Linked DNA regions of Saccharomyces cerevisiae S288C. Changing the gene in region 3 together with the main gene of any one other region gives a genetic interaction. Each region holds a gene or a part of one and is shown on either strand. Other genes may lie near its edges.

Region 1 (8,176 bases), on a different chromosome or scaffold from region 3:
TAAATTCTTTGTTCTTGCTTACGGGAGTGTGGTAAGCATGTATACGCCCGTTTAAAAACCCGATGGAGGCTTTTTCCCCAATTCTCGTACTCCATTGGGCATATGATTTCTTTCTTTTTCCCTTTTTTTTTTTTTCTATTTCCCTAAACTAACAGAACAAGCTTCAAAACAAATGACGGAGAGAAAAACAGTTTTGATTTACCAAATGCGGCAAACTTATTGAGGCTAGACACAGCTCTACCGGATTCGTCCGAGCACTTTTTTGTTTTCTTTTCTATATTTACTACAAACATAACAAAGTTTTGTGCGTCTTCCCTAAAGCAGCTAGGATGAAAATCCTATGCTCTCATCTCGCTGGTTGCCATCTCATCGCATCCAATGCTGTCTGTAATCATTTTATTGGACTTTTCTTTGTTTGCTAATCCCCCTTTTCTTTTTCCCGTTCTTTTCTTGTCCTTGTTTTTCATTTTAACTATATTTCTGAAATTAAGGAAAAATAAGGCAAAAAGTGGGTGGATGCATCTGCGACTTCTCTAGTTTTGCGCCTACTTGGGCGCGCTAATAATAAGGGTTTAGCTTCTTAAAATAAAAATGTCAGTAACAGTTGTACGATAAGGTCTTTACTTTTTTTCTCTCGAGAAATGTCTTTTTCTAATTAATCTCTCTTTTCTGTTGTTGGTTACTGCCTTCCATAGTCCAAGACCATTCGTTATATGGTGCAGTGTAGGATCGAGGAGAATCGGCTCACGGTGCTTATATTATTGCCCGGCTTCAAGTATATTTACATCAGTCTCCATAGTTGTTTTATCTTATTCTTGGCATTGATCTGCTTATTAAACTATTTATCGGTTCTCTCTTCTGGTACAGAACTTAACATGATCTTGTTTTCACTATTGTGCCATAAGCTGAAAAGGCTAAAATAAAATTAAGATAGTAAAGTTCACTCTTAAACTAATCAAGCATGAATAATACAAAATAAATATTTGAGCCAAAGGGGATGATTTAATTATCAAGTTTTTCTTTTCATACTTCGGTTTACAAGCATTGTTTACGGCTCTTCTTTTCTTAGTTCTTGGCAGTTTGTGTTTTCTTGATGAGAATAAGAAAAGTATCGATCTTACGGCAAAACATAAATAAAACACAACTTTATCTTTTTTTGTCGCAGTAGTGTGGTCCTACAGCTCCAAGCCTGCCGCTTTTAAAATAGTGAGCTGTGCATACTGATATATGTTCTATTTTACCCATTTGAGGGGCCTAAATTGTCTATTAATTTTTTTACTTTAATACAGTTTGTATAGAAACATGTGGCACTAACAGCTTTATCCGCCCGCAGAAAAGATAAAAAAAAAGGGTTTTTACCCGGCAAAGAAGCTTCTCCATCATTTGTCAGGGGGAAAAGAAAATTAGGAGGCTCAGGCCCTAGAAGCGCCCTCCACGCTTTTTAAACAAATGCTAATCTTCATAATTCATTATCATCGCCACTTGGCATTGCATTTAATGGGCGCCTTCCAAAAACATTCAAATAGTATCAGCCCCCCCCCAAGGAAAGGCTTTATTTGAATTGCGTTAAATATTCGATTTCTTTCTAGCAATTATTACCAAAATAAATTGCAGGCTTAACGAAAAATTAAATAATCTCTTCAGATTTTTTCACTTCCCCAAACTACATTTTAGTCAGGTTGGCACGATTCAATTGAGAAGGCTTAGGTTAAGAATAAACATTTTTTCATAAATTTGAGGAAGAAGGGGCTTTTCTGGTAATTTTCATTCAATAGAAAGGCTTAAGAAAACGTCAAAAAACTCATGCGCCTCCAGTAAAAACTAAGTGTATTAAGAGAATTGTATCACATATATACGACATTGAATTAAAGAAATAAAACTTGAACAAATAAAGTTTAGAAAAGTGGTTCTAAAAAAAAAAAAACTGTGTGCGTAACAAAAAAAATAATGTCTAGACAAGACGAAAATTCTGCTTTACTAGCGAATAATGAAAATAACAAACCATCGTATACGGGAAATGAGAACGGAGTCTACGATAATTTCAAATTATCAAAAAGTCAACTTTCGGATCTTCATAACCCTAAATCAATAAGATCATTTGTCAGATTATTTGGATATGAGTCTAACAGCCTCTTCAAATACTTGAAAACAGATAAAAATGCAGGCATTTCTCTTCCAGAAATATCAAATTATCGAAAGACAAACCGGTATAAAAATTATGGCGATAATTCACTTCCTGAAAGAATACCAAAGTCTTTTTTACAATTAGTATGGGCTGCTTTTAATGACAAAACAATGCAATTACTGACAGTCGCCGCTGTTGTTTCCTTTGTTTTAGGTCTATACGAACTATGGATGCAACCTCCACAGTATGATCCTGAAGGAAATAAAATTAAGCAAGTTGACTGGATTGAAGGGGTTGCTATCATGATTGCGGTCTTTGTGGTAGTTCTAGTGAGTGCCGCTAACGATTACCAGAAGGAGTTGCAATTTGCAAAGCTAAATAAAAAGAAGGAAAACCGTAAAATTATAGTCATAAGAAATGATCAGGAAATATTAATTTCCATTCACCACGTTTTAGTCGGTGATGTCATTTCATTACAAACCGGTGATGTTGTCCCCGCTGATTGTGTTATGATATCAGGGAAGTGTGAGGCAGATGAATCATCCATCACTGGTGAATCTAACACAATACAGAAATTTCCGGTGGATAACTCATTAAGAGATTTCAAAAAATTTAATTCTATCGATAGTCATAACCATAGCAAACCATTAGATATAGGTGACGTTAACGAAGACGGTAACAAGATTGCTGATTGTATGTTGATTTCAGGTTCCAGAATTCTCTCTGGCTTGGGCAGGGGTGTCATCACGTCCGTGGGTATAAACTCAGTTTACGGTCAAACCATGACTTCATTAAATGCCGAACCTGAAAGTACTCCATTACAGTTACATTTGAGCCAATTGGCTGATAATATATCCGTTTACGGTTGCGTGTCTGCTATAATTCTTTTCTTGGTCCTTTTCACTAGGTACTTATTTTACATAATACCTGAGGATGGCAGGTTCCATGATCTAGATCCCGCTCAAAAGGGTTCTAAATTTATGAACATTTTTATCACATCTATCACGGTTATTGTGGTGGCTGTTCCGGAAGGTTTACCATTAGCTGTAACTTTGGCCTTAGCGTTTGCAACAACAAGAATGACAAAAGACGGTAATTTAGTACGGGTTTTAAGAAGCTGTGAAACGATGGGATCTGCTACTGCAGTGTGCTCTGATAAGACTGGCACTTTGACAGAAAATGTCATGACTGTCGTTCGTGGCTTCCCGGGCAATTCTAAATTTGATGATAGTAAATCGTTGCCCGTTAGCGAACAAAGGAAGCTGAATTCTAAGAAAGTTTTTGAAGAAAATTGTTCGTCATCCTTGAGAAATGATTTATTAGCCAATATTGTCCTGAATTCTACCGCCTTCGAAAACAGAGATTATAAGAAAAACGATAAAAATACAAATGGTAGTAAAAATATGTCAAAAAATTTGAGTTTTTTAGATAAGTGTAAATCTAGATTATCGTTTTTTAAAAAAGGCAACAGGGAAGATGACGAGGATCAATTATTCAAAAATGTCAACAAGGGTAGGCAAGAACCCTTTATTGGCTCTAAAACGGAAACAGCCTTACTCAGTTTGGCAAGATTATCATTAGGATTACAACCGGGAGAATTGCAATATTTGAGAGATCAACCGATGGAAAAGTTTAATATCGAAAAAGTTGTTCAAACAATTCCGTTTGAAAGTTCTCGTAAATGGGCCGGCTTAGTGGTAAAGTACAAAGAAGGCAAAAATAAAAAACCATTTTACAGGTTTTTCATTAAAGGTGCAGCAGAAATTGTTTCCAAGAATTGTTCGTACAAGAGGAATTCAGATGATACTTTGGAAGAAATCAATGAGGACAATAAAAAAGAAACTGATGATGAAATCAAAAATCTTGCGTCCGATGCTCTCAGAGCCATAAGTGTTGCCCACAAAGATTTCTGCGAATGTGATAGCTGGCCCCCTGAACAGCTGCGTGATAAAGACTCACCAAATATAGCTGCTCTTGACTTGCTATTTAACAGTCAAAAGGGCTTAATTCTAGATGGTTTACTTGGGATTCAAGACCCTTTACGTGCAGGCGTTAGGGAGTCAGTACAACAGTGCCAACGTGCTGGTGTAACTGTGCGTATGGTTACTGGTGACAATATATTAACAGCAAAAGCAATCGCGAGGAATTGTGCGATTCTTTCTACTGATATTAGTTCAGAGGCTTATTCTGCAATGGAAGGCACTGAATTCAGAAAGTTAACGAAAAACGAACGTATAAGAATCCTGCCAAATTTAAGGGTCTTAGCAAGGTCTTCGCCTGAGGATAAAAGGTTATTAGTAGAAACATTGAAGGGGATGGGAGATGTTGTTGCGGTCACTGGCGATGGTACGAACGATGCTCCAGCTTTAAAGCTAGCTGATGTTGGTTTCTCAATGGGTATTTCCGGTACGGAGGTTGCCAGAGAGGCTTCTGACATTATTTTGATGACTGATGATTTCTCAGCTATTGTCAACGCTATTAAGTGGGGAAGATGTGTTTCAGTCTCCATAAAAAAGTTCATACAGTTTCAATTAATTGTTAATATCACCGCAGTGATTTTAACGTTCGTTTCATCCGTTGCATCTAGTGATGAAACATCAGTACTGACGGCGGTCCAACTGTTATGGATCAATCTAATCATGGATACTCTAGCAGCTTTAGCTTTAGCCACTGATAAACCCGATCCAAATATCATGGACAGAAAACCTAGGGGCCGCTCAACTTCTTTGATTTCTGTGTCAACTTGGAAAATGATTCTATCACAAGCTACATTGCAGTTGATAGTTACTTTCATTTTGCATTTTTACGGGCCAGAGTTATTCTTCAAGAAACATGAAGATGAAATAACAAGTCACCAACAGCAGCAACTGAATGCCATGACATTCAACACTTTTGTTTGGTTGCAATTTTTTACCATGTTAGTATCGAGAAAATTAGATGAAGGTGATGGTATATCAAACTGGAGAGGCAGGATTTCTGCCGCCAATTTGAATTTCTTCCAAGACTTGGGTAGAAACTATTATTTTCTCACGATCATGGCGATCATTGGCAGCTGTCAAGTTTTAATCATGTTTTTTGGTGGCGCACCATTTTCTATTGCCAGACAAACCAAATCAATGTGGATAACCGCGGTACTGTGTGGTATGTTGTCTCTAATCATGGGGGTGCTAGTGAGAATCTGCCCCGATGAAGTAGCAGTGAAGGTATTTCCGGCTGCTTTCGTTCAAAGATTCAAGTACGTATTTGGACTCGAGTTCCTCAGAAAAAACCATACTGGAAAACACGACGATGAAGAAGCGCTGTTGGAGGAATCTGATAGTCCAGAGTCCACCGCCTTTTATTAATAGACGCGCTCTATATGTTTATACAAATGTAAGTGACCAAATGAAAAGATGTGTGTAATAGTTATATTTTCAAAATTGTACACTATATTATATAATCAATAAAAAGAAACTATCTGAAATAGCATGTCCTCCTAAACAAATTCCTTTTTACCCTTTTATGCATTACAAGTGGACCAAAAGGACTGGAAATGGTAAAAAGAAATAAGAATTTAAACATGCTATAAATTTCTTTTGTTAATTGCAAATTTTTTGTTTTTATCACCGATTATGATATCATACCATCGTCAATATTCTTGGTTGATAAATAACTTTGTGCTTTTGATTTTATGCTCTCCGAAAAGTTGCTATACTCAGCAAAGAACTTATCTAGGCCTTTAAACAGACATTTCAGTTCAGAAAGTGAATCAATTCTCCCAATCAAATCCTTGTTTGTTTCATCTTTAGCCTCGTTATCAATCGCAGAGCTTAAAGATTCATCGATTGTATCCTCTAATGCTTTCAATGATGTTCTAAAATCTGTTATCGAAAGATCTGTCCCCGTGCTGGTTGTATTATTTTCTCTAACTGTCGAAATATTCGTAACGGTCCTAACTTGTTCCAGGTAATATACCACTTTTTCAATTCTCTCCTTAATCAACATTAAACTTTGCAGTTGTTGCCTCACATTGGTATTGCGATTATTTTCGTTATCTAGATCGCTTAGTTTCTCAGTTACATTATGCATTCCTGTTTCTAATGCTCTTACAGCACTTGCCAACGTATCTAAGTAATATTCAAGCTTCGATGATTTTAAGGATTCAGTAGAATACAATGAGGAATCGTTCTGTTCTGCTTCTTTGTGATACCTAGAAGATGCCCAAGTTCTTGGTAACGTTTGAGATAATTTATCCAAATTCCATATGGTGCTTTCCAACTCTTTTGTAAGGTTCTTTGTGTAAAAATCCAACCTGGTTAATAGCAATGAGGATACTGATTGCGTTTGAATCTGATCTTCGTTTAAGGCATTTGATAAGAGTATATCAACGAATGCATGGGGAACGAACTCCTCATCAAAAAACATACTCAATATATCATCATCATCACCCGTAATTGTCAACTCTACCATATTCTGCTTAGTTTGGCCTTCTTGTTCTTAGTGAATTGTTCTATTTTAGACATATTTCATATGGAAATAAAATGCATTATCACCCTCAAAGCGCATTACGCCAAGCTCATGCAGCGAAGTGAACTTTTTTGAAAAAGTTACTAGTACGAAAGAGGTTAAGGATTACTTAAGTTATACAAAGCGCAGAAGTTGTTTTTTCCAACTTCAAGCACCTCCCCATTTGATTCATCATCAGAAACGTAACAGAATTGGCTGACCTCATCGTCATTGGAAACTAAAAAGGTGGGCGTCTCAAATTCAATAGCGGGCCGTTCACTTTCTGGGTCTGAAATAATGTCAAGCTTAATACTGGTGTCGAATCCAGAAGATACAAATAAGGCTCCGGCTGCAAAGTAGACATTGTTTATTGGGGTGCCTTCATTAATTAAAAACTCACCAACTGGGCATTCCGGTGATCTTAGATCCCATTGAGCTAGCATTCCATTTTCATATCCGGCATAAATATAGTTTGCATTATTGCCATCGACTGTCAATGAATTACATGAACATGTGAACTTGCTTGGGAGTTGAATAGTTTGCTCTTTGGAAAATACATTATGTACAGTAATAACACCAGAAACGTGACCAGCAATCACATATTTTCCATATGTTCCAAACTCTAGATTATTTTTCTTGGAAGTAGAAATTTCATGTAATTGTCTGTCTGTCCCTACGAACAGCGCTATGCTGTTAACACCATCATGCGGGTTTTCTTTTCTGTTAAACGTGTGAATTGTCGTTCCTGTGCCGCACTCCCAAAGGCGAATTGTACCATCCAAAGAGGCAGAGAGCACATTCCTTCCTCGGTCTATTATGGCAATATCTGTGACTGTCGCCCTGTGTCCAATTAACGTGCGAGGATTTGAGCCGTCTTTTACTGACCAGATCTTTAATTGCATATCCTGTGAACTAGATATCAAAGCTTCACCGCTTGGAAAAAACTTTAGTTTTGTTATTTCACTAACGTGAGCTTGGTCAATTTCTCTTTGAAGGTTGAAATTTGAATCCAATACTTTAATATCGCCTTCTGTAGTGCCTAATATGAACCGTCTCATCTGAAGTTTAGCTGTGTCTACGGCAGTATAATCCGCCCTCTTGAGCATCTTTGAACCATCTCTTATGATAGTATTGAATAAAAAATCATGTCCATCCAACCGCGCCTTGTATAAGTGGGAGCCAACCTTTTCAAATGTATTTCCTTTGCCTGCATCTACACCCCTGCTATTTCCTAACACTACTATCTTATGCTCCTTGATTTCATTTAGGTTTTTGTCAACATTGATGTAAAATTCATCGTCATTTTCATCATTTTCTTCCAGAACAGCTTTAAAATCATACTGGATATGAGCAACTGTGATGGTCTTAGTCATTGTCGTTTCTATTGTACTTCGCTATTTCTTTTTACTTTCTGCTCTTAGGGTTGAAAACTTAATTTTTCGAAGCTTCTTTTGCCGATTTCTAGATTATTCGCCCATCCTGACGCCTGTAATATGTCATGTTAAAAACATCACAAAAGTTAATAAGGTTAACTGAGCCTTATTCCCAAATCCTGACAAGGACAAA
Region 2 (10,295 bases), on a different chromosome or scaffold from region 3:
ATATAATCCTTTCCCTCCATTCAATAGCCCCACCTGAAAATTGTTTATGTTCTCTATATTCTGCGCCAAATAATTATTCATTTCATTAGCGGATTCCAACAGTTGCTCTACATGTATTCTATTTTTTGAACTATCTGTTGTACCGCATGGCTGTGCTTTCTCAGTCTTGCCTTCTGCAAGACCAGGCGTATTTGATCTAGACTGGTCCCATTCACTTGTTAAATCTGAGAAATTCTCACTCTGTAAAAACTTTGGTTTCAAAGGTAATTCGAACGAAGCGTTATAATCGTCCACAATTCCCAAACTGACTGGACGTATATCACCATCATCAAACTCCTCTGTGTCAGTGGTGTGGTTTTTAGTCATGTCCATTTTGCAAGTAATCTATTTGCGCATGGAATACCTATATTATGCGAGTCGAAGATTATATAATAGCAGGTATGGTTGAACTGATTGAACACCAAAGCATATCGATCTGTGAAATTCACTCAACATGCTTTTAAAGTAAGGCAAGTTCTAAGTGATTTCCTACAAAACATCGCTGAGAAAGGAAAGAAAAATGGCATGATATGGAGTAAGAATCGGATCGGTGCAATATACTCCGAGCTTCCCGAAAAGATATATTCCGGGCCCAAAAATATCTGGCTAAAACTATGCATAATACTTTTACTACTTAGAGTCATACGTATTAAAAAAGGTATTTAAAAAGATGGAGATATGTATTAATCGCTCGGAAGTGATTAGTACAATCTGAAAGCTGGACCCATGGAGGACTTAACAACCAAGGAACCAACATTTTGCCAGTTCTTCTTCAACAAAGAAACAAAGAAGTTAACAGACATCAAGATTTGGTTAACCAAAACGTCTTCTTCCATTTCAACGTTACCAACGGCAACAGCCAAACACAAGACCTTCTTCAATTGGAACTTGATGGTAGATCTGACATCAGTGACCTTACCGTACAAGTCATCGTTGTGAGAAACTGGGGTTGGGAACTTACCAGCCTTGGACAATTGAGGACCCAATAGTCTTGGAACTTGCTTGATCAAAACTTCGGAAGCAATGAAAGCGTTGTACTTCTTAGACAACTTCTTGATTAACTTCTTGTTCTTGTTCAACTTCTTCAAGTCATCGACGGACATAGCGTCAACACCGCAAGACTTAGCTCTGTCAACATCGAAAGCATCACCGAAGATACAGATGGACATGTTTGGTCTTGGACAGTTTGGCAACTTCAAAGAACCAGAGAAACGCTTGTCTCTTTGAGGGTCATAGTTCTTCAAACCGACTTGTAGTTCGACGGTTTCCAAGAAGTTTCTCTTCTTGGTTTCGTTGGAATACTTCAACAATTCCTTGACGTGTTCTCTGACTTGAGAAGAGGTGATCTTAGACATTTTATGATATGTAATTAGTCTTCCAAAGTATTTGGTGGTCCGTGAGGCTTGCGACTAGTTCTATGGAGTCTTTCCTGAAACTTCAAGAGGTTACCAAATAACGTAATGCTCAAGAAGTGCTGCGAAGATGTACTTACATATCTTAATCCAAATACAACACTCTTCCCATTGATTGCGTCTTTCTTCCTCGGACTTTCCAATCTGAGGCCAAAAGATGTCTATGGCATTATTGTGTGCGAAAAAAAAGTTTCAGGAAAAAAAAACTTTAAATATTTGAGGTTGCACCCGTGCATATTGAAAGATGTATGGGTTCAAAAATGTCCGTATTCAACTTTTGCCAAAAGCTGATAGCTGTTTGGCCTTATGAGGTAAGGTTTATGAACGCAGTCTTCTTCATTGCGATCTAAAAGTTGATATGTTAATGGAGATAATGGTAGAGTAAACTGAATTTTTTACAGTCCCCTTTCTTGAAATTAAGCAAGTTATTTAGCTAACTTACATACCATCTTCATGTATCGTTTTTGATTTTTCAGTTCTTTTTTAAAAAAGAAGATCAAGTAATTTGTTCTAATCAAAGAAGAAGGTTCAATACCGTTTCTCTGGTATTTGTAAGATCTCTTTTACTGGCGTTCTTTTAAAAATGATCAGGTCCGGTTAAAGGGCGTCTCCGTCAATGAGAGAAAAATGTCAGCCTCTGATATAGATGGAAGTCGTAGCCATCAAGATGGGCTTATCCGAGGTTTGAAGTAATGACTACACATACTGACGGGAAAATTACAGCATGATTTTAGTGTACAATCGTATCAGGAGTATAATATCGTCTTCTTTAGGTCGAATACATGTACGGTATAATTCTAACTCACAAAACAGATGGCTGAATAGACAACTGAAGGATCCCTACACAAAAGAGGCCAAGGTCCAAAATCTGAGGTCTAGAGCCGCATTCAAGCTTATGCAGATTGATGATAAATATCGGCTTTTTAGCAAAAACAGGACCGATCAGAGAATTCTAGATCTTGGGTATGCCCCTGGGGCTTGGTCCCAAGTAGCACGGCAAAGAAGTTCACCTAATTCAATGATACTGGGCGTTGACATTCTCCCTTGTGAACCTCCGCATGGTGTGAACTCTATTCAAGCTAATATATTGGCCAAAAGAACTCATGATCTTATACGGCTCTTTTTTTCTAAGCATTTCCAATTGAACAGACACGATGATTTGCATAAGGACCATGGCTATTTCCAGAACATGCTCGAGGAGGAGCTAACCCATGTGAAAGATACTGAATTGTACCGTGAAATTTTCACCTCTGATGACATTTATGAAACTCCGAATACGAATAGTACCCTAATAGAACGAGAAAAATTCCCAGTTGATGTGATTATAAGTGATATGTATGAACCCTGGCCCCAAACAACCGGTTTTTGGAACAACATTACTAATCAAGCTTATTTTAGGATGGCTAATACATCTGGTGTCAGTATAAGAGACCATTACCAATCTATTGATTTATGTGACGCAGCCTTAGTTACGGCTATAGATTTATTACGGCCATTAGGTTCGTTTGTTTGTAAACTATACACCGGCGAAGAAGAAAACCTATTTAAAAAAAGAATGCAGGCAGTTTTCACTAACGTTCATAAGTTCAAGCCTGACGCTTCTAGAGACGAATCAAAGGAGACCTATTATATCGGATTAAAGAAGAAAAGAAATGTAGATAAACTGGACGTGTTTAGTAATTCATAATATGATTTGTTTGCGCGCAAAGTTTCAAGTCACGTTCATTTTCACACCTATCGCAATAAAAATAAAAAGTGTACATCTGTATATATATATGTTTACCATCCATTAAAGATGTTTTCTCATTCGTTGATTAGTTCTTTATTTGTCTTTCTATGAGGTGGTTAACTCTCTTCTTCCACAGGCTCCGGCACTGCCTCTCCTTGCTCCGGCTGTTGTTCTGATTGTTGTTGCTGGGGAGCTTCCTCTTCTTTTTTTTCGGCTTCAACTGCCTCTGAGTTGGATTCTTTAAACTCGCTGTCCTCAACTTCAGCTTCTTTGTTTTCGTCAGCTTGTTCTGGGGCTGGAGTGGAATCTAAGTCAATGAGTGGTTGGGCATCTCCTGAACTCGAAGAGCCTGGTAAACCTTCGGCCCCACAAACTCTTTCTGATACAGTATTCTTACCGTTGAGTATCAAATTTTCCTTCCATTTTGTAACAATATCGTTGACTGCATCATCTCCTAAACCGTATGTTGATCCAAGGAAAGCGGCTTCGGAAAACCTTTGAGACTTGATTAAAAGATCTTTAGCGCCTTGTATATCGCCAGCGATCCAATATGCATTAAAAGCCAAATTGAATTTACCGGCCCTTTCAGCATCTTTAGCTAAAGTGACCAACCCCTCCTTGTTATTAAAAGATGAGTGCAATAGAAATAAAGATTCTAGATCATGTGCATTTGTGAAAGCTTCAACAGCAAGTTTAAAATTGAACCTTTGTAAGGAAGCATCACCCAAGGCTCTCCATTTCATTTCGGCGCTTTCATCTGTCAACAAATCGCGAGCAAGCGTAAGTTGGCCGACTTTTAAGGCTAGCTCAAATTTTTGATCTTGATCAGGGGAAATATTCAGTGCTTCTTCATAATACTCTTGACCTTCCAGAAATCTAGCAATTTTTGTTAAAGAGTCCTTACCCTCAACATTTGGGAGTACATTTTCAATGGCTTCTTCAATTTCCCCTCTTAAAGTCAATGTTTGGAACTCCAGCACCTCTAGAGATATTTCGTAACCATAAACATGGACCTCTCTGTCAGCTAAATATACTTTATTATCACGTGCTAGATAGCCCAATAGATACATTTCCTTTGTGTAATGGGCTAAATTATAAGTCTTTCCACCTACGAAGTAGTTCAGCCTGTTAGTTGCTGTGGTAAAGATAAAGACATCACCAACCCATTTGCCTGATGTAATGGATTCACTTAGTTCATACAATACGTCAAAAGCCTCATCAACACCTTCTGAATCGTCGATATTGCCATTATTTGCTGCTTCAAGGTAAGCATCCTTGTTGAATAATAATGTGTAACCACTTGCTTCATCACCATTACTATTGGTGTTGACAATCATCACCAGCTCACCGTTATCGGACCAAATGACATCCTTAGCATTAACATCAATTCTTCTAACTAGCGTACCGTTGTCCCAATCGAAGAAATAGACGAAGCCATCAGACTTCACACCCAACAAGGCACCTGAAAATAATCTATCAATAGCAGAATGCATTGGGACAGACCATGATGTGACTTCTTTAAAGTTTTTGTAGTATTTAATTTGCCCAGTTTCATCAATTAAAGCATAACTATTGGAGTCGGGGCCCCAAACAAAGTCTTGACATTTACCGAAGGCTTTGTTTCTCCAAGCCAACGCCGTATAAATAACGTATTCACCATCCCCAACAACTGTAACAAACCTACCATTTGGAGAATGGGCTAAAGATTGAGGGAAAACATCAACGGAACCCAGCTCCTTAGTTTGTAAAGATAATGGTTCATCTTGTTCAACTTCTTCGTTACCTCTTATGACGGCAGTGAAAATGTCTGAAGCTGCGGCATTTTTGCCACCTGACCATACTAGCTTACCGACAGGGTCAAGTGATAAAGTTGGTTCATCATTTCCCAAGGAAAGTACGGTAAACCCATTATCAAACCCGGATGCAATGTAGTTTTTACGTCCTGTTGGATGGGTAGCGATACACCAACTTCTTTCTAAACCAACGTTTAAAGTCTTTTCTACCTTGTAAGTGGAAGAATTCCATATCTTTAAAGTGCCATCTTCGGAACCAGAAATTATAATGGGTAAAGTTGGATGGAAAACAGCAAAAGAAACATTGGACATGTGACCTTCTAGAGTGGCTACACATGACTTCGTTTGGTAATCCCAAATTTTGATGGTTAAGTCGTCCGACGCAGTAATCATATAAGGCTTGTCAGGTAGCGGGTAATAATCAACATAATTCACACCTCTTTCTTGTCCTGTGGTTAACGTGAAATTTGGTGTCGATTGTCCCAATGACCAAACTTTAACGGTTCGGTCCAAACACCCAGATGCAAACGTACTAGGATCCTTTGGATTGAATGCGACGCACATGACAAAGTGTTCGTGACCTTCAAAAGTTTGTTCTAAGGCCCAGTTATTTTCCCAATTCCATAGTTTGACTGTCAAATCATCACTGCCGGATAAAACATAAGGCTTTGTTGGATGTACAGCAATGGAACGGATATAGTCTGGATGAGCTTCGAAATCAACAACTTTTTCACCTGTATTGTAGTTGAAGACTCTGATCCTGAAATCATCACTCCCAACAATTATCCAATTCTTTCTTGCAATGAATTTACCTGCTCTAACAGGAGTTTCCGTAACTTGGATGGATCTAACTTCAACTTGTGTTTCGTAATTCCAAAGCTCAACACGACCAGAGTACAAGGTAGTCAAAACCCATGGCTCAGTAGGATGGAAATCGATACCTTTAACTCGATCGGATCTATTACTAAAAGTTTTCTATCATAAATGTACAGTGTCAAATAAAGGAAATGCCAAGAGCAAATGCATTTATTTCAAAAATCTTCCTGTTAGTAACTAATCTTAATGTTTGCTTTTTGCAGGCTTTGTATTCTTCGCGAACGAGATCATTTCCTAATCATAGGAGTTGTCGGAGCTTGTTCGCAATTGCATTGGCAAAACGCGCTCTGGTAACATACCTTTATATCCAACTTCATCGTGTCCGTATAATTGTTTCGATTGGGTGTCTTAATTCACCATTACAAGCTACCATTTATTGCAGCTTTCTGTTATTTACTCCCAAATCTTACACGACATGTTCCTAATGCCAGCTCGATTCATTCATGAAAAAAAGACAGTTTATTACCCGCTCATTCGTCAGACGCGATTAAAATTTGACGCCGCGTCACAAAATAATCAATTTGATAATAATATATTTGATATTATTGTCCATATTCAATAATTAGTAATGTGGATCTAATGATTTTTATACAGCTCAATACAAAGCAACAAAACTAAAAATAGATTATAATATCCAAAGTGCTCCTCGGATGAATGTACAACTTTTTAGAATTTTTCTTCTTTTTTATAACGTACACCTTATTTAAGAGCACTTTCGTTCAAGGAAAAAGTTCATTTCCTGGACATGATGTGTGTAAGTTCGAAGACCAAAATTTCCAGACAGAGTTCTTCTTAAATGTTCTTAAAGGTGACAAGTTACAGAACTTGAAGCAGGAGTACGAACAATACAAAAAACAAAGTACTTTGTACACAGGCTTTGTAATTGAAAAACAATATGAATACCAGGTAGCGCCCTTGCAAATCAATAATTTTCTTCAAGTGACCTTTTGTAAAGGAGGAAAGCCAATTTGGAATCATATTCTACCCTTTCAAAAGGATTTAGATTGGGCAGAACCACTATGCATTCCAGCCCAGGAGGATGATACTATCTCCCAAAACAGCTCAGTATGTTTCAAGTTTGCAAGGGTGCAGAAATATACACAGCGTAATGTAACCCTTTACTTTCCTAATAAATTTGTTGGATTCGTATTTGTTTGCAATTCTTCAAAGACGCATCCCCCCACTCAGAACAATTTTGAAACTATTCCATTAACGCCTATTATTTCTGATGATATTAGAGATTACAAAATATCTTGGTCAATTAAAGGAAGAATCACCAAGGTGGTACCTTATCTACATTCGTTAAGTATTCCTATGTCCAAATATGAGATGCTCATCCATTCAGATAAGAACATATCAAACGAATTGGAATATAAATCCTTAACTTCGGAGTTTTGGAAGAGCTATAAAAACTTAAGAAAGTTTAAAAACAAAGAAATGTCTTGGATAAACGAAATAAATCCTATGGAGCAATATGATAGCTCTGGGAATGAAAATGTCCCGAATTTTCATGAAAAACTAGACCGTACAATAAATCGGATTGCGCAAAACATAGAAAGGCCTCATGATGCACTAATAAGAGCGATAGCCGCACATAATAGAAACTCTAATAGTGGAAATATTACAAGAAGGAAATATTTGAGGAGGAAGATCTCAAAGATGTTAAAAAATAAGATACCTCTTAAGAACTGAACAACTTACACATTCCTATTCATGAAAAAACATAATTTTATAATAAATTGTTTGTTTGATTCGATTAGTTTATTTAACTTGATTAATTTAAGTATTTATTTTTTTTTAATTTGTTGTTACACGAGGAGTATTAAAAATATGACAAACTGGGATATTACAACATAGAAACAAAGATAACAAAAGCTATCTATTTTAAAAAAATTCATATTAAGCAAACTGGTACAAAGTGTTTTAACGTTATTAATGAAAAAGAAAACTTGGGAAACTTCTGACAAAAACAGAATTTAGAAGGTTAGAAGGAGAATGAGAAAAACCTGTAAAATTAAAAATTTTTATGATAGGAGCAGAACTTTTGTATATCGTAAAGACTCACATAAATCCTTCATCGAAGAATCCAGGGGGTTTCCTCAGTGGTTGTTTATTGTTTCCCAAACTATTTATGCTGTCATCTCGAACATAGTTTTGCGACCTAAATCCTCCGTCCGAACTTGAGGTATCTAAAAGGTCTCCTTCAGTGGAGTCGTGAAATGGATCGGTATTTGAACTTGTATCTTCCTCTTCAAAGGAATTGATCAGTCCATTATGCGCATCAGACTGTGATCTTGTGTGTCCTGGATAAGGTTTAGAGCCTAATGTTGATAGGTTTTCTCGTGAAAGATTCGTTAAGTTGTGAGGAAACGTTTGTTGTTTTGGAGCTTCAACTCTCAGAGCATCTGTGCTTGCGTTTTCATTCTTAGGCCTAGAGAATTTACTTAATATTTTCTCTGAAAACGTAGGCTTGTTATCATCACTTGATGTTACGGTTGTGGGAGTGGTTTCATCCTGTGCTTGCTTTAGCTCATCATTCACACCAGTATCATTTGATTCGTAATCTGAATTGTCGTCATGGTCTTTTGCCACATTGCCCAACGCAAGCAACTCGTTCGCTACTGATCTATTAACAGTACCTTCTGGTTTCATAGTGTTCCTTTGGAAAGAAGTTCTATCGTCCTTAGCAGGTTTAAATCTTAGATCGGGGTTCTTTGAGAAAAGCATCATACCAGCGAATGCCAATATCATCATTAGTAAAATGAACGAAAATGCAGCGTTCATAATGAAAAATATCCATCCCATAATAGCAGCCACTTTGTAGCTTTGGTTAAACAAGTCCGAAAAAAACATGAATAGAAAGGAATTAACTACAGTAACAGTAGCAATTAAAATATTCATTATGTTTGTTGGACGGTCCAGATAGGGCTTATAGTAGATAATAGCAACGAAGTAAAACAAATCCAATATGAACATGAAAAGAACTTGTGTTTGACCAGAAGCCTGAGCAAATCCAACCAATAATGATTTTACAAAAATGTAGGATAAAAGAACAATGTTCCACCAGTAATGATTGGCATTGAACATTGTATAGAAAAATCCGTATTTGTGTAAGACATATTCATCTCCATACAATAAGGCTGCTGGGTTGTTGTACAATGCAACAGATCTTCTTGCGAAAAAAACAGTCCTCCATGCAGCCCAAAGCATTAACCCACATGACAAAAGAATAAAAAGGCATGCGATGACGATAACAGCAGGTGAATCTCTTTCAGTAAATTCCCAAAAACTGAGAATTGTTAACTGAACGAAACCGATGTAAATATATCTTAAAAGAGCACCTTTTAAGATCATTCTCCATTGTTTCCTGAATTCCCAAAACCTTGCCTTTTGGATCCATCCTAACCGGGTGGCTAACTCCACACAGCATTTGAATACTATGATAAATCCAGCCAACACATATCCACATAAGACGAAGAAAGTAAAACCGGTACAAACGATGGACGTATTTTCGATTCCCATTTTATAGCCTAGCCTTTTGATTCCTCTAAAAATTAATGTATTTGCATTACCATACAAAACATTGGTAGCTCTTTTGATTAATGGGAGCTCCATCAAATATTGCCAACTTCTTTGAGCCAAAACAGACATAGATGTTGAAGTCAGATATAAGCTAGGCGTACCACCAGTGGATTGCACATACCACCGGAAAATCCTTTGCATGAATGAGATTCTAATTAACCCCATTGACCAAACCAAGTTTTCCGCCCAGGCGGCTGCAATAGGCGGAACTCGATGAACATGTTGCATGGCAACCACGACAACAGATTGGAAGTATAAGAAAAGTGACATTGTGTTGGCAGAAATATGTGAGGCTGCGGTAGAGTTCCCAAAAGTGGATAAGATGGCAGATAGTAAAAGACCAATTCCCGCTACCACTGCAGTTGCCCATTTTACACCAATCTGAGAAACTGTTTTACCGTTTGAGAAGTATATTTGGATACATGCTAGGTACTCGCTCACATTGTTGGTGATCTTGACCCTGGCATATGCGTCGATATCGGGGACTTGGTATGCAATACCAGGAATTTCATTTACGTACTCACTGGAGATGTATTCAATAGAGTCGATCTGAATATTACCTGGGTGAACCGGGCAAAACTGTTTCCAGTTGATTGAACAAAGATCGACATTTTTAGTAATGATCTTGAAACCATATGCGTAGACATCAATATCAGCAAAAATATATGAATCAATTTGAGTTGACATATCAAGATCATAATGTAATGACCTGTCGTCTGGATTGAAAACAACGTCAAAACTATTTGCTGACAGCTGCGAGTTTTCCATACATGTGACCAATGATGTGGCTACCAGCTTCCTTTTTGCCTCTGCAAGATTTACTTTACTGGCTAACAATATTATTAGTCCAATTAATGCCGATGA
Region 3 (8,250 bases):
TTTTGAGTTTGGGCCTTGGGAAGATATTCCGAGATTTTCTTCAAACGAAACCTTAGCAATTGTTTATTCCCACAATGCCCCATTGAATCAGGTAGTGAATTTGAGAAGAGATATTTGGCTTTCTCATTGGGCTTCCACAATACAATTTGAGGAATATTATGAATTAACAAACAAAGCCGCAAAACTGTCTAAAGGATTTTCAAGATTAGAATTAATGAAACAGATTCAAACTCAGAATATGAGACAAACTCACTTTGTTACTGTCTTAGACATGCTCCTGCCTGAGGGAGCTACTGATCATTATTTCACTGATTTGGTTGGCCTTGTTTCCACGTCGCATGCAGAACGTGACCATTTCTTTATAAGACCAAGATTCCCAATCTTTGGAGGTTGGAACTACAATTTTACTGTCGGTTGGACTAATAAATTGTCCGATTTCTTGCATGTATCCTCTGGCTCAGACGAGAAATTCGTTGCTTCTATCCCAATTCTAAACGGCCCACCGGACACTGTATATGATAATGTTGAATTATCGGTATTTCTTCCGGAAGGGGCCGAAATATTCGATATTGATTCTCCAGTCCCTTTTACAAATGTTTCTATAGAAACCCAGAAATCATACTTTGACCTAAATAAAGGTCACGTTAAATTAACTTTCAGTTACAGAAATTTGATTAGTCAAGTTGCCAATGGCCAAGTCTTGATAAAGTACGACTACCCGAAAAGCTCTTTTTTCAAGAAGCCTCTGTCTATTGCTTGCTATATTTTCACCGCACTAATGGGAGTTTTTGTCTTAAAAACTTTGAACATGAACGTAACTAACTGAGTTCACGTTTGAATGATATATACCTTATGATGCAGAGCAATAAATTCAGTATTTAATTTTTTATAAGTTTTATAGATAAGAATTTTCCAATGAATAAAGGTATTTACAATCATTTCCTAGACATTCTCGTGGTCTTTTCTTTGCACAATCAATGGTCATAGTTTTTTTTGTTTAGTAGTTTAAGGACAGAAGAATAACAAAGATGTTCACGTTTTGAATGTTACCAGACATTCTCAGATTCATCCTTTAACCTAGCGACGCGCACAGGCTCCCAATCCTCTTCAGAAAGACCTTGTAAACGATAATATTCTTCTTTAATATCAAATTCCCTTTGATTCTTCCTTATTTTCAAGATATCCTCTTCATTAATTTCCTGAACTTTACGATCGCCTTGCTCGTACTTGATCGCTGTAAAGCTTGACAACCAAAACGAACCCAATACTATTGTTGCACAAAATGGTAAACCAAAAAAAAGAAAGGGGTGCTTACTCAATGCTTTTTTGTATCGCCCCGCTAAAGATGCTTCATATACTAGCTGCTGTCTTCTAGACCTAAATTTTTTTCCGCTGAACGACATTTAGGAGACAAATTCTGGTAATATTTCAGTTGTTGACTAATATATATAGTGGTTTTTGCCAAAATTAAAGACTTCCTTTTATTAACTAGGTGACCAGATATAAGGAAGTGTATTTGCTTTCTAATAACTTGTGTACGGCCATAACCCGGCTTTTAATCAGTTTATTTAACAAGGTATACAAATCGCCAAACGTAACAAGAGATAGGCGCTATTATTCATTTAATATTGTCGTATTCAAAATACTAACGGTGAACAATTTGCTCCATTGTAACACTATAGGACAAGGCTAATCATGAATAAATATCTCCCCACCCAAAATATTCGTAGCTCGCGATATTCACGGTAATATTCTGTAACTTCATGTTAAGAGATGATCTTTAGGAAGGCTAAGGAAGGGTACACATAGAAGTGAGATAAAAAATAGGCATTTGAATTACTGTAACATGGTTTCGATAAGAAGGTATTTGCGAGTGCCGAATGAGTTGAAACCTTCCCAGATCTTCAAACAAGATTCTCTCTCTCCAAGTAAGATTGGACTTCAAATTGTTCTTTTACAGATTTTTTATTACACCACAGCGATCGTTCTTTTTTATTGTTGGGCGAAGCTAGCGGGATATGATCTCAATATCAAGGAATGGCTGTTTTCTTGGGAGAATATCGACTTTACGAACGCATACGGTTTATCAATCTCACTGTTATGGCTTCTGGATTCATTAATATGTGTTTTTTTCTTAACTGTTATCGTTGGACGGAGTAAACTCGCATGGGATTTTGCTATCACTATACATGCCATCAATTTTATTGTGGTGTTCCTCTATACTCGGAAATTTCCTTCTTTTTCTTGGTTTTTTCTTCAAATTTTATCATCTTTAATACTAATATTTTTGGGGACATGGACAACAAGATGGAGAGAGCTTAGAGACACCTTTTTTGAGGGCTTGGTTGATCCTAATGAAGGAGAAGTTGGATTGGTTACGCCTAGTCAGCAGCATAGTAATCATTCAGAATTGGAGCAATCACCAATACAACTAAAAGACTTAGAAAGCCAAATATGAGAGGAGATGAAACAACATATTCGAGGCAATTTTGGCAATATTATAGTCATTCAAGAGAAAACAGTAAATGTATGAAAAATGGCAAGAACCTTATCTCTATAGGCTTAATAAATCTGCCTTTTTGGCCAATTTTTCAAAACAGATCCTATTTCTTATTTATACACAATCTATATTTAACATAATTAAGTACGTGATGACATTGAAGATAATAATAAGTAAAGAGTTTACGTACTTAAATTTTATATAGTTTTAGTATACTTGCAATGTGTGAATGGATCTAGTAAGCTGAGGTACTTCTCTAGCGTGAATATGAAACGAGTAACAGGGTGGTACATAATTTACGAACAGAACTCAAGTTGATAAATCCTTTGCGTTCTTAACCATTTGTAAAAGTTCGTCAACAACATTGAAAATATTGCTTCGAGCAGATGTTTTATCGTTTCTGCAAATTTCCAGTCCTGAACACCTCTGTTGTCGTAAATGTAATAATGCCACACTGGATTCGATTCTAGTAATTACATGATCAAAAAATAACAACGCATCCTTCTCAGAAATCGATTGCATAATACCATTTTCAACTTTAGGGTTAAATTTAATATAACTTCCCTCCGTCCGAGAGTCTAGTTCAATAAATCCGCCGCTTAAAGCTGACATTATAGATTCCAGTCTGTTTGAAATGACTCTTAAACGAAACAACATCGTTTCATTGATTAATTTTGACTGCTCATCTTCAGATGCAAATTCGTGTCTGGAAGCAAGAATCTTAGGATACGCAATAGTAACGAGTTCTTTGGTTTCGAGTCCCTTTAGCTTATGCTCGCCAAAGTCAAAAAATGCCCAACCAATACTTTCCAGCATGGCAATTTCTCTTTCAAGAACCTCTCCGATAATTTCTTCACCATAAACTTCCTTGAGAGATTCCTTGCCCTTCACTACTCGCTCATGATACTTCATTATCTTGTTGAATTCAGAGTAAAAATCACTACTCATTGCAATCTGACCACCGTCAGCGACGCCCTGGACCCTTGCTGCCTTATTGACCATCGGCCCCAAATAGTCCATTCTTTGAGTCACTAAATCAAGCTCTGGAACTGGGCAGCCCCAATGAATACCCATTCTAACTGATAGGCCTTGATAGATAATGTTACCATTTCTATCCGTAACTTGGCAGCCGTCTTGAACTGAGGTAATTTCCTCCGGCCATTGTGCATCCAAGAGTTTTAATTGAACACTTAAGCACCATGTCAGACCACTAGTTGGCGTAGGAAATGCCACCATAAAGGCGTCTCCTTCTGTCTTTACTTCGTAACCACCGTAAATTCGTAGTTGACGACGCATAATGTCATTGTGAGTTTTTATTGCGGTCCTCATTGCGTTAGGGAATAGCTCCCATAAGAAGGTTGAGCTTTTGATATCAGTGAAGACCATTGCTAGGTTACCTGTTGGCGGAGAAATCTCAGGTTGAAGTCTTCTTAATGTAGTATCCTCGAAAGTACTTCTTCTAGTCATTAAAGAGTTTTTATTTAAAGTGAACCGATTTTGTTGCTGAATGTTCTCGTAAAGAGCAAGGCACAAAATTGTAATATTCTCTGTACAGCCGTAAGCCATGGCATGATCCTTCAACTCAGCTGCGGCACGGAGTGGATCAGTACTATTCTCACGCGCGATATCACAAACTGTATCCACGTCCATGTATTCCCATAACTTATGCGTTGCTACAATAAGCATCTCGTCTGCTTTTGTTAATGTCACGACAGATATGTCGGGAGAAGCATGAATGTGGGGAAGCAAATCAAAAAAACCCACTGCTCTAGACACATCTACAACACCATCTAATTTTCCATTGTTGACATACCCGCCAGATATTCTGATCCTCTCGTATTCTTCCCGCTTTGTTGGGAGATGTTGTTTGGTTAGCGTTTGGTAGTCACCATTGTTTTTGGATAAAATAGCCATACAGTCACCTAAATTTGCAGCGAAGAGTTTCTTCCCTCTGATATATATCACAGTAGAGCAAGCGCCACTTAGCAAGTCTGCATATGAAAGATTGGCAACATCGGCACCATTATCAACAGAATTTAGCATTCCGTTAATCTCCTTATTCAGTTGCAAAAAACTGAAACGAAGTGCAGTTTTTATATTATCATCTGTTTCGTCTCCATACCTTTCCAGTTGTCTGATCAGTATTTTATCGTAAATATCTCTAACAATTCTTGATATATTGTGGCCATAATCTGCATTTTGGTTTTTACTATCATGAAGACATAGTAAGCATTCGTCGTCATTTCCGCGGAATCTTTCAAAGGTAACATCACGAGATGACACATAGTCTCTTTGACCTAATGTATCAGCAACACCGTAGCGCATCCCATTTATTATTGATGCAGTTGTCCTTAAACGGAAATTGACATTTTCATCCGGTACTTTGGTAGTATTTAAAGTTACGTCCATTAAACCTAGTACCTTTAACTGAGGTAATACTGTCAGATCTGACAAATCAGCATCAATATCGTGACTTATAAATGACTTTATTTCAAACCTTCGATTTCCTGAAAAATTCAAATATTTTAGTTCTTTATTATTCCTCCAGTTCCAATCGTAATGATAGTTTGATATATTATACTTTAATTGATTTGCTCCAACATCAAATACACTTAGCTGTGAGAGATTTGATAATTCTGCAGGCAGAGATAACATTTGGTTACTATTCAACATTAAAGTCTTTAAAGAGCTCCATTTCAAAACTGTATCACCCGACAATGTCGTGAGCTTATTACCGGAGAGGTACAATTCGGTAATGCTCTCAAGTTTCATGTGCGATACATCTGAAAAATTGTTGTAAGAAAGATTTAGCACTTTCAGATTGACAAAGCAATTGAAAAGAGGCCACATAGCATCATCAAATTGATTGTCTGCAGCAATAAAAAACATCAGGCTTTTAGATAACTTTGACCCATATGACATGTTATGGTAAAAAGAATTTTCTAAGCTAGAGTTACCGAATGCATTCGATGAAATATTTAGCGATGTTAGTTCAAGGTTTTCCATACCGTCAACAAAGTCCCTTATGTTGTTAGAATGTAGATCTAATGTCCTCAAACTTTTCAGTTGAGATAGCTCGGGTGGAATATACTCTAGTTTGTTTCTCGCCACTGAAAGGAAAACTAATTTAGTCAACTTGGATATCTCCTGTGGCAGTCTAGTCAAATTATTCTGATTAAGTTCAAGTTTCTCGAGGAAAGATAGTTTGGTGAGTAATTCTCCAGGAATACTCGATAACTGTGCCTTGTTCAACGTCAAACTTGTCATGTTTTTTGGATAAAAATCTTTGAAGGATATAGAAGTGATTGGATTCTCTTGAATTTCAAGGGCTCTTAGTTTCGGCAAAGTGTCTTCAAAGTTCGAAATTCTATTATCTGTTAAAAAAAGGTTCTGCAAGTTAGACGCATTTGTCTTAATTGATGATATTCTGTTATATCTTAGGTTCAGCGTCCTCAAATCTGTCATTTCCGATAAGTCGCCTATAAAATTTAGTTTGTTATGAGAAAGGTTCATCTTCGCAAGCTTTACTAGGTACTTAGTGGACTGTGGTAAGCTTTGGATTTTATTATATGATAGGTCTATTTGTAAAAGATTGGTGCAGTAGTTAATAACTTCTGGGTAGTGCATGAACTTGTTTGAAGACAAGTCTAGCAATTGCAGATTTTTCAGTTCAACAAATCCAGCCGGTAGGCTTTCAAGCTCATTACATTGAAGGTTTAATATCGTTAAATTACTCAGTTTCATGATTGAGTTCGGTACTTTTCTTATGAAGTTTCTCTGTAATTCCAAAGATACTAGTTTATACGCCTTAGTGATATTGGAAGGAAATTTAGATGCTCTAATATTAACCATTCTCAAACTTAATAATTTAATCGAGCTTTCAATGAACTCCAGAGGTAGGAATATATTTGCGTTATTAGAAACGTCTAAACTTTCTATTTCTGACGTATGCTGGTAAAAAATGATGGGAGGTGTAGTCAGATCCATATTCCTTAAATCTACGTGAACAAATTCGCTTCTCATTATTCTTTGTTCTTGTTCAGGAGTAAAGTGAGAAGGTGTGACAGGATGGAAAAGAAACTTAAAAACAAAACTTAAATCCTCTATACCCATAATATGAAGTGGGTCTGACTTTCGATAACCATTCAAAAGTAAAAGTTTTCTTTCAATTAAAATAGGTTTCGAAGTTGGTCTCAAAATTTTTGACAACTTTCCCACCTTCAGGGAAATTTGAAAATTCCCTTGCGCTGTAATGTTAAATTTTCTTTTAAGTGCAGGTATTATCTCTTCGACGGTAGTCGCTGGAGTACATGAGAGAGTCGTAAAAGTGTCATCAGTATTGAATATACGAATAGCATAGTGCCTCTTTGGATCTAAATCACTGAAATCTTTATAGTAATGTTCCAGTTGGCACTCGACCTCATCGTCCTTCTCATCTTGTAGTAATAATCCAGAACTCTGGGCACCATCTGGTGAATTCATATTTACCGAAGAGGATGTAAATTTCTTGGTATACGATTTCGTTTTATTCAGGATCGGTGTTTTATTATCCTGCTCTCGGTTGGCCTCCATATACGCGTTAGTGTACGAAGAGGAATCGCTGCAGGAAGATGTATCTTCTGAACTAATAGATGAGGACGGTAAAGATGAGGAAGTGGAAGACGTGTCGTAGTCCCCATCTAAATTTGATGGAGCATATCGTATACTTGGGGGACTCATAGCCAAATTACTTTTTAAGCGGTTCACAGATTTAGTATCGAGTGCGGTCTTGCTATCATTCGGAACGTTTTCTTTACATATATCAACAAAACTTGAGTTACTGTCACCCGCAGTGACCATTGATTCGTTATCCTTTCGATCGTGATGATGACGAGAGTCTTTTTTTGAAGGTGGCCCCGGTGACATGGGATCAAGTTCATCAGCATCTATACTTGACCTTCTTGATTTCGATCTCCCTTTAGGTTTTGTTTTTTTCCTTTTGGTTTCCACATCCCAGCTTTGAGGTGCTACCCATTGTGATCTATCATTGGAAGTTGATGTGAATTCACCATTAGGTGCTGCGGCAGCGACGGAGAGATCAGCCATTGACACCGACTTCCTAGGACCTTCAGGCATGATCACCGTTTTGGGTGAGGCAGTCTCAGTCCCGTGTGTAGAATTTAGTGTAGAATTGACAGCGGTGGGTGGCACCGTCTTTGTAATATCAGTAACATCCTCAAGGTTTGTATCTAGCCTGAAAAGGGATGGTTTACATGAAATGGGTGTTTCTATAGTAGGCGTTGTGGCTTCGCGTTTGTTGTCAGAGTTAGAATTTTCCGGAATGTTCTCATTATATTCTGGAGTCACTTTCTCGGATTTATTATTAGTGTGATCGGCGGATTCGCTGTTAACGCTGTCCTTACTTTTAGTAGTTGGAGAAACATTAGATACGTTATGTTGGAGAACATGACTACCCGACGTCGCCATACTTGCACTGTCACTGTTAGTCATTGAACTGACATTTGAACCTCTTCTACTGCTTGAAGAAGATGTGGAGCCTAGCAGAAAGCTTTTTCTGTGCGAGCGTTTGCTATTGGGAACATCGGATGAATGTAATGTATTTTCTGATTGCGCAACAGCCTTTGGTCTAATCTGTTTATCTGCAATACCATTATTTATATCATGGACGGAAGAACCACGTACCAATGAGGACACTTTCCTTCGTAAAGTGCTTGGCACGTTATCAGCCAAGTGATTAGATAAAGTGGAGT
Region 4 (3,913 bases), on a different chromosome or scaffold from region 3:
TGTGCTATCATAACTTGATAAAGGATTTTGTAGAGGTGCGTTCTATGGAGACTCAGTCCAAGAGGAAAAGGCTTTTGGACACAGATGTGGAGAAAGCAAAGAAAGTGGCTACTAAGCCTTCTATTGAGAGTGAATCAAAAGTCAGTCAAATGATGGGATTTTCCAATTTTGCCACCTCTAAAAAATGAGAAACCAAGTAAAGATAAATGAGCATAATACAAGCATAGAGCACATATAAAAAGTCGGGACTCAGATCAGATCATTAGATATATCTTTTATGTATATAAACCCTTAATTAAAATATATACGCGAAAATATTCATTCTCAAAATTCCATTATTGGGCCAGAACCAATACTTCTCCAAGTGGTCATGTCTACGTTCCACTGGCGCCATTTGTTCAGCATAACGCGATCCACTTCCATATTATTCCCGTGGGCCACCTGCGTACCAGAATTGGTTACAGATTGTGAGGGAGTTAGATTATTGCTTGAAGTGTTGAAATCCGCAAATTGAATAGGAGTTGCTGTGGTATTTCTTGCTGCCTTAGCTTCTGCTAATTTTAATTTTTCTACTGCGGCAATTAATTCATCCCTTGCGGTTTGCAAATCGTTTTGTAAACCATTAATGATGTCTTCTTTTTCCTGCAATTGATCCTGTAGGTCATCGACAGTAGTTTCATTTTCCATATTCAAAAATTTCAGTTGTTTATTTTCCTGTGTGAGTTTCTCATTTTCCGCCCTTAGTTTGGTCAACTCATCTTCTTCTTTTTGCTTTTTAATCGTGGTGAGAAAGTCAGATTCTTCATTGCCGTCATTGGCAAATAAATCGTCTGCTGCTTCTGATGTATTTGAAGGTTCGTTTCCTTCTTGAGTTTGTACAATTTTCTTTTCCTCTTGTGGTTCTATGGTCTTTCCGGCATCTGCTGTTTGCTCATCGTTGTTATTTTTTATAACTTCTTGAACTTCCTCTTTTTTTGTGTTTTCTGCATCATCCTTTCCCACATTTGATGAAGTACTATTTATTTCCTCAATATCTTTTTCTGTTGTGCCCGAAGGATCTGATTTAACCTGTTCTATTTCTTTTTCTTCACTCTCCTCATCCACGTCATTTTGATCGTTGTTTTCACTTTTGGTGGAATTTGCTTTCACAGTCTCCTCCTGTGTGGACTCTTCGCCTGGTGTGCCCTCTAAATCAGGAGTTTCAGATCCTATAGAGCCTGTGGCACTGCTATTTTTATTCTTCTTACCTTTATTCTTTTTATTTTTCTTTTTCTTCAATTCTTCTACTCTCTTTCTAGCCTCTTCCAATTGTTTCATACGCTTAACTTCATCAGACTCCTGTTCAGACATTGTAACTATATGATAAACTTGCTCAATTCAGGTTGGTTCAATGCAAATTATTACATCCCTTTTTTATCACAAGATCTTCGTAACAATAGTACTAATTAATAGTGCTGGGGATTCTCAACCATTTTTTTTTTTTCAAAAGCGAAAATGGATAAAACGGTGGCAACTTCAAACAAGTTGAGGGAAGCCAACGCAGCGTTTAGGAAAACGTACGACAAGAACAAGAAGATCATCACATTGTAATTATGGATTTAACCGTGGAACCTAATTTGCACTCTTTAATTACCTCTACCACTCATAAGTGGATTTTCGTTGGTGGTAAAGGTGGTGTTGGTAAGACTACTTCATCATGTTCCATTGCTATCCAAATGGCTTTGAGTCAACCAAACAAACAGTTCCTACTGATCTCTACTGATCCTGCCCATAACTTAAGTGATGCATTCGGTGAGAAATTTGGTAAAGACGCCAGAAAGGTGACAGGCATGAATAATCTATCATGTATGGAAATCGATCCATCCGCTGCTTTGAAGGATATGAACGACATGGCAGTTTCACGCGCTAACAATAACGGAAGTGACGGTCAAGGTGACGATCTAGGAAGCTTGCTTCAAGGTGGTGCTCTTGCTGATTTGACCGGTTCCATCCCTGGTATCGACGAAGCTTTATCCTTCATGGAAGTCATGAAGCACATTAAAAGGCAAGAACAGGGCGAAGGTGAAACCTTCGATACTGTTATTTTTGACACTGCTCCAACTGGCCACACATTAAGATTTCTACAACTACCAAATACTTTATCCAAGCTTTTGGAAAAGTTCGGTGAAATTACCAACAAATTGGGCCCAATGCTAAACTCTTTTATGGGCGCAGGTAATGTCGATATCTCTGGAAAATTGAACGAGTTAAAGGCTAATGTCGAGACCATCAGACAACAATTCACGGATCCTGACCTAACGACTTTTGTTTGCGTTTGTATCAGTGAATTCTTATCCTTATATGAAACTGAAAGACTAATTCAGGAATTGATTTCCTACGATATGGACGTTAATTCCATCATTGTCAACCAATTATTATTTGCTGAAAACGATCAAGAGCACAACTGTAAGAGATGTCAGGCAAGATGGAAGATGCAAAAGAAGTACTTGGACCAAATCGACGAATTGTACGAAGATTTCCATGTCGTTAAAATGCCATTATGTGCTGGAGAAATCAGAGGCTTAAATAACTTAACAAAGTTCTCACAGTTCCTAAACAAAGAATATAACCCTATTACTGATGGCAAAGTCATTTATGAGTTAGAAGATAAGGAATAGAAGCCCCTGAATACCATAAATAGATACATACGACATATAACCATAGAAAAAATAGTAATACGATGGTATGTGTGTGAAAAGAAAAAAATTACGTGACGCGACGCGTTTGTTTACTTTTTTCCATTTTATTTCCATGGTATTTTTCAAATGATTTTGGAAAATTATTAGATATTGTTGAAAAAGGAGGAAATGAGAACCCTTTATAGTCGAGAGTAACAAGTAAAGGGGCTTAACATACAGTAAAAAAGGCAATTATAGTGAAGATGAGTTTGTCCACGAAAAGAGAGCACTCTGGTGATGTAACTGACTCTTCATTCAAAAGACAGCAACGAAGTAATAAGCCCAGCTCAGAATACACTTGTCTGGGCCATCTGGTGAACTTAATACCCGGAAAGGAGCAAAAAGTGGAAATAACAAATAGAAACGTTACTACAATCGGTAGAAGTAGGTCGTGCGACGTTATATTGAGTGAGCCTGACATCTCGACTTTCCATGCTGAGTTTCATCTACTGCAAATGGATGTGGATAATTTCCAAAGAAATTTGATTAATGTTATCGATAAGAGCAGAAACGGAACTTTTATTAATGGTAATCGTTTGGTGAAGAAAGACTACATCCTTAAGAATGGTGACAGAATTGTCTTTGGCAAAAGTTGCTCCTTTTTGTTCAAGTACGCATCTTCATCTTCTACTGACATCGAAAATGACGATGAAAAGGTAAGTTCAGAAAGTCGTTCATATAAGAACGACGACGAAGTTTTCAAGAAACCGCAAATAAGTGCTACAAGTAGCCAAAATGCTACAACGAGTGCCGCAATTAGAAAACTGAATAAGACAAGGCCTGTGTCGTTCTTTGATAAATATTTATTAGGTAAAGAATTAGGTGCAGGGCACTACGCCCTGGTGAAAGAAGCCAAAAACAAAAAAACTGGTCAGCAAGTAGCTGTGAAAATATTCCACGCTCAGCAAAATGACGACCAAAAAAAGAATAAACAATTTAGGGAGGAAACTAACATCCTAATGAGAGTGCAACATCCAAACATTGTCAACTTACTAGATAGTTTTGTAGAGCCAATCAGCAAATCTCAGATTCAAAAATATTTGGTACTGGAAAAGATCGACGATGGCGAACTATTTGAAAGAATCGTCAGAAAAACATGTTTGAGACAGGATGAATCCAAAGCTCTATTCAAACAGTTACTTACCGGATTGAAGTATCTGCATGAGCAAAACATCATTCACAGAGACATCAAGCCA

The links.
Region 1: mutations in SYS1 (region 3) and COG7 together harm fitness more than expected from each alone (negative genetic interaction), as found in Saccharomyces cerevisiae (4 studies listed by BioGRID).
Region 2: mutations in SYS1 (region 3) and SEC27 together harm fitness more than expected from each alone (negative genetic interaction), as found in Saccharomyces cerevisiae (4 studies listed by BioGRID).
Region 4: mutations in SYS1 (region 3) and GET3 together harm fitness more than expected from each alone (negative genetic interaction), as found in Saccharomyces cerevisiae (5 studies listed by BioGRID, with this or other methods).

The regions. Positions count from the first base shown.
Region 1 is NC_001139.9:483,974-492,149, forward strand, and holds COG7 (Golgi transport complex subunit COG7), read right to left. Parts: upstream 6,575-8,176; coding exon 5,735-6,574; downstream 1-5,734. Other genes in the region: YGL006W-A (uncharacterized protein), read left to right, coding at 1,450-1,560; calcium-transporting ATPase PMC1, read left to right, coding at 1,948-5,469; RPN14 (Rpn14p), read right to left, coding at 6,730-7,983. UniProt on the Saccharomyces cerevisiae protein: Acts as a component of the peripheral membrane COG complex that is involved in intra-Golgi protein trafficking.
Region 2 is NC_001139.9:245,740-256,034, reverse strand, and holds SEC27 (coatomer subunit beta'), read right to left. Parts: upstream 6,167-10,295; coding exon 6,149-6,166; intron 5,949-6,148; coding exon 3,297-5,948; downstream 1-3,296. Other genes in the region: PCL10 (Pcl10p), read right to left, coding at 1-372; 60S ribosomal protein uL1 RPL1B, read right to left, coding at 741-1,394; MRM2 (21S rRNA (uridine2791-2'-O) methyltransferase), read left to right, coding at 2,176-3,138; YGL138C (uncharacterized protein), read left to right, coding at 6,504-7,541; FLC3 (putative flavin adenine dinucleotide transporter), read right to left, coding at 7,911-10,295. UniProt on the Saccharomyces cerevisiae protein: The coatomer is a cytosolic protein complex that binds to dilysine motifs and reversibly associates with Golgi non-clathrin-coated vesicles, which further mediate biosynthetic protein transport from the ER, via the Golgi up to the trans Golgi network.
Region 3 is NC_001142.9:425,797-434,046, reverse strand, and holds SYS1 (Sys1p), read left to right. Parts: upstream 1-1,846; coding exon 1,847-2,458; downstream 2,459-8,250. Other genes in the region: dolichyl-diphosphooligosaccharide--protein glycotransferase subunit OST1, read left to right, coding at 1-826; COX16 (Cox16p), read right to left, coding at 1,047-1,403; CYR1 (adenylate cyclase), read right to left, coding at 2,810-8,250. UniProt on the Saccharomyces cerevisiae protein: Necessary for the targeting of ARL3 to the Golgi. Involved in protein trafficking. May serve as a receptor for acetylated ARL3.
Region 4 is NC_001136.10:280,856-284,768, reverse strand, and holds GET3 (guanine nucleotide exchange factor GET3), read left to right. Parts: upstream 1-1,592; coding exon 1,593-2,657; downstream 2,658-3,913. Other genes in the region: U4/U6-U5 snRNP complex subunit SNU23, read left to right, coding at 1-188; BUG1 (Bug1p), read right to left, coding at 325-1,350; serine/threonine protein kinase DUN1, read left to right, coding at 2,921-3,913. UniProt on the Saccharomyces cerevisiae protein: ATPase required for the post-translational delivery of tail-anchored (TA) proteins to the endoplasmic reticulum. Recognizes and selectively binds the transmembrane domain of TA proteins in the cytosol.